Coturnix japonica: one gene and its partner. The protein of the gene in region 1 interacts with the protein of each later gene in a pairwise test. Links are inferred from orthologs where the notes say so. Each region holds a gene or a part of one and is shown on either strand. Other genes may lie near its edges.

Evidence for each region.
Region 2: the proteins of C11H16orf70 (region 1) and BCAS3 interact in binary tests that used the Homo sapiens proteins (3 or more experiments, as listed by UniProt). The link is inferred for Coturnix japonica from reciprocal best matches to the Homo sapiens genes PHAF1 and BCAS3.

Annotation. Positions count from the first base shown.
Region 1 is NC_029526.1:282,685-286,502, reverse strand, and holds part of C11H16orf70 (UPF0183 protein C16orf70 homolog), read left to right. Parts: intron 1-887; coding exon 888-985; intron 986-3,199; coding exon 3,200-3,312; intron 3,313-3,818. UniProt on the Homo sapiens protein: Plays a regulatory role in autophagic activity. In complex with BCAS3, associates with the autophagosome formation site during both non-selective and selective autophagy.
Region 2 is NC_029534.1:6,694,501-6,698,318, reverse strand, and holds part of BCAS3 (breast carcinoma-amplified sequence 3), read left to right. Parts: intron 1-592; coding exon 593-647; intron 648-2,051; coding exon 2,052-2,127; intron 2,128-3,818. UniProt on the Homo sapiens protein: Plays a role in angiogenesis. Participates in the regulation of cell polarity and directional endothelial cell migration by mediating both the activation and recruitment of CDC42 and the reorganization of the actin cytoskeleton at the cell leading edge.

The DNA of each region.
Region 1 (3,818 bases):
GTGGCAGGCTCTTACCAGCTGTGTCAGGAAGCTGCCTTCCACACACCCTAAGAGCTTCCTAGACCGTTTCTCTCTGCTCTACTATATTTCAAGCAGACATCTGTAAATTCAAATGCCCAGCAAGAACAAATATGAGCAGTTGTGTGACTTCTGCTGGCTGCTTGTAGAATCTGCCTCTTCATCCTGGTTGGGTGGCCTATAACCAGGACAGTAGCCTTCTTGGCATTCCCCTCCATCCTTATCCGAAGGAGAAAAGCTGAAAGCTAATCATAATCCAAATAGAATATCCCAAGAAAGTACCTTTTCTTGTACGAGTTGCAAATGCATCTGTAAATTAAATGGCTGAGTTCCTAAGAAGTTCAGTTTTTGTACCAAAGGTCTGAAAGTGTAAGAATGTGATGATAAGTAGAGCAGAAGATCTATGCAATGAGTGAGTGTTTACCAGGTAAAGGCATTTTGCAAACCAGCATCAGTGTTAAAAGGATTAAATTAATGCAGTAGAAGAGAAAAAAGAATTTCAGCCTTTAAATAGGTTGTATTTAAGTTCTCAGAAATAGGCTATAAGTTCAAATGTTCTTAAATTTCTAGTTCGTGGTGGTAAAACCAAGAATACTTGAATTCTTATTGCACACGCTGCACACATGGCTAATTGACAAACTAGTGCCATCTTTTGGTGGATCGGTGTAGTGAGTATTTCATCCCAACTTTGGAATCCCTGAGTAGTGTAATGTAAACTCACACCATGTACAAGGGTGGATATTTTTACTTTTTGCCTCCACGTGTTAGACTCACCTGGGTTGGTAAGTATGTACTGTATTTCTAATGTAATATTTGACCTGAAGAGTTTCTACTGTGTAAGGTTAACAAGGGTGATTCTCTCTCCTCAGCCTAACTTCGCGCATGGTCTGGCTTCTCTGCAAATTCCACATGGTGCGACTGTGAAACGTATGTACATCTACAATGGAAATAGCCTGCAGGATACCAAGTGCGTATGGCTGGTTGCACAGTTTTGATTATTTACTATTTGCGCTATTTCCTCCTCATTTATGTAGGGTTTTGCAAATGCTAAATGTGATTATATATGCTCAGTTTTTTATTTCAGTCTTCTAGGAATTAGGTATGCAGAATGCCTTTACATATATAAACCTCTTTCCAGTCACCATAGGCATACCAGTACCGTCCAGCCTTGTTATCAGGTGCTGGTGTGATTCTTGTTACTATGAAATCAGCTTGGTCTATCTATTGTAGGCTAATTCAGATTAATTCATCAGATGAAGGAGGAAAGGTAGTGAAAGCCTGATTATTCTTACATGCTGCTTATACTCTGTTTTTTGTCTACTCACAACCTTTTTCTAGACAAATGCAACTCCTTGTGGTAGGCCGTCAGTCAGTTCATAGTATGTTGGTGCCATTTACATCATGGCAGAACCCTGCCAAGAGTCTTACACTCTCTTGCAATATAAAAATAAATTATTTTAAAACTTAAGCTATATGTGTAATCTACCATATAGCCTATATGTCTTCAATTCCCTGTCTCAGTTTACTGCTCCCATGAGGTAACTGATGGAATAGTTGTGTTTGAGCATAGTTAGTGTTTTCTGTGGCATTGTGTTCTGCCCTCTTCTACGCAGTAATTTTTTGTACAGCATTTGATGTTTTGCTTCTTCTAGAAACTCTGTTCCTGGAGTTTGCTACTCAAGTTAAAACTAGATGATTGCAATTTAATGGCAAGAGAAGGTTAATGCATCAGTAGCTTGCTGCTAAGGAAGGAGGAAACCTTGTTTACATGAACACTGTCTCTTAATTAGAAATATGCACTTTAGAGAAATGTTGTCTGGGTCCATCCACGCCATGCTGTGCTACAGTGAGAGCATGCACTGATACAGGGCTGTGCTGCACATGTTTGCCAGCTTAGCACCTGCCCTGCAGCTTCAGCCACTGGGAGAAAGCCCCATCAAACACAAATAAAGCAGCTGTTTGATTGAAAGTATCTTGCTGGTTCCTGGGATAGTTTTCTCAAATATTATTGAAATTGAATTAAAACGAGACCTGTCCCAGGAAAGTAAAGTGATTGTGTGTGGTTTATCTACACAAGCTGCTTTTACGTTCTGGACATCATGGAGGATGAGAAGCCAGATATGAGCCAGCATTGTGCACTTGCAGCCCAAAAGGCCAACTGTGTTCTGGGCTGCATTAGAAAAGGGGTGACCAGCAGGGAGTGGGAGTTGATTGTCCCCTCTACTCAGCTCCATCTGCAGTGCTGCATCCAGGCCTGGGGCCCCCAGTACAGGAAGGACGTGGAGCTCTTGGAGCAGGTCCAGAGGAGGCCACTAAGATTTCAGAGGGCTGGAGCAGCTCTCCTATGAGGAAAGGTTGAGGGAACTGGGATTGTTTAGCTTGGAGAAGGCTCTGGAGAGACCTCATTGTGACCTTCCAGTACTTGAAAGGAGCATATAAACAGGAGGAGGAATGGCTGTTCACAAGGGTGGACAGTGATAGAACAAGGGGGAATGGTCTTAAACTGAGACAGGGGAGGTTAAGCTTGGATATTAAGAGGAAGTTTTTCACCCAGAGGGTGGTGACGCACTGGAACAGGTTGCCCAAGGAGGCTGTGGATGCCCCATCCCTGCAGGCATTTGAGGCCAGGCTGGATGTGGCTCTGGGCAGCCTGGTCTGGTGGATGGCGACCCTGCACATAGCTAGAGGTTGGAACTGGATGAGCATTGTGGGCCTTTTCAACACAGGCTGTTCTATGATTCTGTGTTTCTATGACTACGGGTTACCAGGGGCAGTGAGGGCACACGTTTAAAATGCTTCTGCTGCACTTAGGTGATGTAGCTAGTTCACGTAGTAAGTACCTTTAAAGATCATACAACCTCTATTTTGCTGCACAAAGTCTGAAATGGCACATCTTCATAGGAGCTATTTGGAAGCTAGATGTAGTAATTTCTAGAGTTTTTGAAACTTGCTGTTGGTTTCATTAATAGTAAGGGTCCTTTGTTTGAATCTTACCTTGTTATTCCTTTTCTTTTTCTCCAGGATTTCTAATCCTGATGTGAAATTTAACTTTTCATCTTCAGTCTGAGCTCAATGCTGCTTCGTCTAAATTAACATGCTCTGTTCCAGCGAACTGCCATCAACTTGGTAATGGTACATTGGAAGACTGTGTCCCATGTATGTGTTTGTGTGGTTGTTTCAGGGCTCCCTTGATGCCACTCAGCTGTTTCCTTGGCAATGTGTATGCTGAGAACGTCGATGTGCTGAGAGACGGGACTGGACCCTCAGGTTTACGGCTTCGCCTACTCACTGCAGGTATTGGTGACACAAAGAACACCCTTAGGCTCTTTGCAGTGCAGTTGTAGGTGTTTTCAAAAATAACCTTATTTTAAACGATTGGAAGCAAAACAAAACTCAGTCACGTTCTCCTGGCCTGGGAGACATCATTGAGGGCTGTTCTCTGCAATCCCAGTTGACAAGAATGGATGCACGTTGATGCTACAGCCTGAGACTTCACTTCAAATTCAGTTCAGCTTTAATTTGCTGTGGAATCAGCAGCAAGAATGATAGAGGCTGATGCATAACTTGTCCTTGTATGTGCTTTCAGAGGTTGGCAGACCTTAGAAATTAAGGAAAGACTGACTGAAAATGAGACTTTTTCAGTGACTTTAACAATGCATTGTCTTTTTAAGAAGAAATGTTGAGATGTTTGTAACAATTTTTACTAGCAGGCCCTGCTTTTTTCTTGTGCCGAGTACTAGCTGTGTATGTATTAAGGAAGCACTTAGAATGCTTTTCTGGTATGCAAAAAATGGAAAGGG
Region 2 (3,818 bases), on another chromosome or scaffold:
AAAAATGTTAGTTTAAATGTAGCAGATCCAGTATATCTTGCAATATATCCTATTCATTGCTGCTAATGAACTTCCAAGAAGGAGTAAGTTCTTCAAGCTGTAAAATTGGAACCTTGCTCATCCTGGTTGGGTTTTGGTTCCGCCCACTGTTGTTTCCATTTACTTTGTCATTGTACATAGTGTACCTGAGGTCATAAAGTTTACAGGCCCCACAAGGGAAGCTCCAGCCCTTGCTGTAAGCACTCTTATATGGCATAAGATCCAGTTCAAGTAGAAAAACACTGAGAAGTGATTTCCAAAAGCCTTTTTTGCTCTGATTATTCTAACGTGGAGTACATGGTTTCCTCTGTTATGTTTTACGCCTTTTCCTGAGCAGCTGTTTCATGAATAGGTATCAATTCACATTTAACATACTTTTAGGTCACTTTGTGTATATGTTGTCAGTGTGTGACAGCCTATTGAGTAACTACACTGCATCCTTAGTAATTTTCTGTGTTGTCGTGTTTGTTTTCTCTGTCAACGCCTTATTTAATATATCCCTAACCACTAATGGACTCCAGTAGTAGTGAAAAATTCTCCTTCTGTTTTCAAGGGAGCAGTCATATATGGAAAGTGTTGTTACTTTTCTTCAAGACGTTGTGCCACAGGTATGTGCATGTCTTAAAAGCTGTCTTTTCAGTAGCGAAGCAGAAGTCTGCCTTCTGCTTTCTTCCTTTCCCTTTTTGTCTTCTTTTGTCCCTTTTTGTTCCTTCTGTGGAGAAATACAGTGCTTCTGGTTTTGTAGTTTTCACAGGTAGCAGCAGCATGAAATGGTCATTTCTGTATTGCTCCTGGGCCTCTCAATAGCAGAGGGAAAGCAGTGTTGGAAGGCTGCAGTCAGTAGTGAAGTGTTGCAGCTAATTGCCCATAGCCTCAGGAAACTCTCTTAGTCATTCAAATAAGAACCATCTTGGATAACTGAAGTCATGAATTTTTTTAATGGTAATAATAATAATAAGAAGAAATCCCCTTGCTGGTATTGGCTTGTGAAATGCATTTTTGGACTCATGGTCAAAATTAAATTAGTCAAACTTTCATTTAAAAGATTGCTACGTTCCCTATCCCCCCCTTCCTGCCTTTGCTTTTCTCTCTGTAGTTAAAGGGTACAGTCTGTGTTTTATTGTACAAATCAGTTTGCCTTGGAAACATGGAATGTGATCTGTTTGGAGAAGTAATACCCACACTTACTTTTTAAATCTGCATTTTTAGCTTGTGTTATTGCTTTTCTGGCATGTATAAAGTGATTATATGGTCTCTTTTCATATTTATTCCAATATATTGCACTGCATTTTGCCCTAATTCATTTGGAAGTGATGGTATTTCTACTGTAGCTCACATTCTTAATACCACACTTTCTCCTGAGAACTGTAAAGCACACAGGTTGGAAACACTGCAAGTCTCCTTCAGAGTTTCTTTTTGCATCTCATCTTATGGGAATTTGTAGAACGCAGAACTGAAACGCAGATTTGTTTTACTGGAATTACAGCTTATTCTTTTAAAATGGCTGTATTAAAGATGTCACGCATGTAATTACAACGTGTCAGTAAAATAAACTGTAGTAAAAGTGTTTCTTTCTTCATTTTTGCTTACAAAGCATTTAAATGAATAAAATAAGTTTTAAGAATAAAAATGCTTCTTGTGAGAACCCCTGATGTTGCTCTTAGAAGCAGTGTGCCACTGCTAGAAGTTAAACATGGCAGAAGTCACTCTATTTTAGCCTGACTAAATGGCTGTGGGTCCTGTAGCATTTCTGACCTGCTGCACAGGGTTTATTGCTGTGTGTGTCTGCTTCAGTGAGTGATGTTAGAACTTTGAGTTACACCCAGCATGCTGCGTGTTGATCATGGACTCATTCCTCTTAGAAGCAAAATGTCACAGTAATACTGGCTGTGACTGTAAGGTACAGGTATACCTGTTTATTTATTAACTTCATAGTCTCTTCTGTGTTCTATACAGGGAGGAAAAAATGGGTGTTACATTTTCTTATTTTGAGCCTTTTGCTTTTTGCCCAGGCCTACAGTGGTACTCCTCCAGCAGAAGAAAAGGAGAAGATCATATGGGTCAGATTTGAGAATGCGGATTTGAATGGTACGGTTGCATTTCTCTCTCAGTATGTAAATACTTTTGTTCAGTACCTTCCAAATGGAACAGATAGGCCCTGCTACTGCATCTAAAGGCAAACTAGCTCTTGCTTAGGAAGAAAGGCAAATAATAAAAGATCCTATTCTTTTCCTTATGATAGTTGAAGACAAAGCAGAGAACTGAATTTATTTTGACCACTGTTTGGTTTTAAAGCCAGATTATCTAACTGCAGATCCAGTCCAAGACCTGTGTGTATGTCCATTGATATGTATAATTCATAGCAACCTAGGAAGGGTGAATGGTTAGGGAGAAAGATCAGGAGATTCTATGATTTCCTTCAGGTAAATGGAAGCAATGTCACAACATATTCTTGCAATGTAACTTACTGCTTGTAGTGTGTCTCAGTAAGTTGTCAGCTAGAGCTGCTGACTGGCAACTGCTCTTGGGCATCAAGAAACAATGGTAATGGCCACAGGCTTTTGCTAAGAGCGTCAAGTAAAGTACATATCCAGATGACATGTATTTCACCTCAACCCATCCCAATTACGTTTTCTGAACGAGGAAGATTACTGACTGAGTGGGAAGTGGTTGAATGCTGCTGTTGAGTATCTTGCCCGAATGGACTAACCACTTTGCAGTTGCTTGCAGTGTAAAGTACAAGTGGCTGCTGTAACTGGGGAACTAAGAGATCTGCATTCCTGATCAGGCTTTTCTGGAGAGTGCAAGAGTTGGCTTTTCCAGAGAACTGCTGTTGTCTGCCATCTTCTTTTCCTGTCTATAGCACTGTGATAAAGGCTTATTCTGGTCTTATATGAAGTAGTAGCTATAGCCAGAGCCTTGATGGGGAATTTTCAGACCCTCCTTGAGGTTAATAGGGAAGATTGTTATGTTTTCCAGCTGTTGAAATGGCACGGAGGCTGGCAGTTCATAAATTCATGGTTCTTAGAACAAGAAAAGTCCTATAATCTCATGCAGGGTATTATGTCCAGCTTTAGGCTGTCAGAATTTGTTTCTTTGTGAGCTCCTTGTCCTCTTCTGTTTATTTTTAAAAGTTCTTGGCCATTCCCTCTTTCGGGCCCTTTCTACAGCAAATTGAAAATGCTTTACAATATTTTTCACAATCCTGTATTTTGTCTACACTTACCTTTATGCAACGTAATGTGTTTGGACCTGAACTTATCTTATTTCAACATCCTGAATGTTTTTCCTCTCTTTCTTTGATGCTTACATATTTGCAGGGATCTTTCATCCATCCATGGAAGTAGAGTTCTGCAGGGCCATAGTCAAGAAAGGCTCAATTTTCTTGTTATTATGTTCTGAGGCACTTTTCTTCCTGTGGATTTCCTTCTTTTCAGGAGGTTGATGCAAAGATTAGTTGTACGGTATTTAGGAAGAGCTTTGATCAGTCCGTATGTTTGTAGCAGTAGAATGTGTTAGTTAATTTTATTGGTCTTTTCTCCCTTTTAAAAGTTTGCTGCATTATATTAATCACAGCAGCGAGTTATGGAAGTTCTAGGTGTATTTTGTGATAGCTCTTGTTTAATGAAGGATGTTTTTCTCCATCGTTTGTAACCTCTCTGTGAAATTTTAATAAATCTATTATGCTTGCCTAAAAGAATGCATCTCAATGTTGTTTCAACATAAAAAATGTGATCCACATCGCTTTGCCTTTAATTACAAGAGCAAAAACATTCACT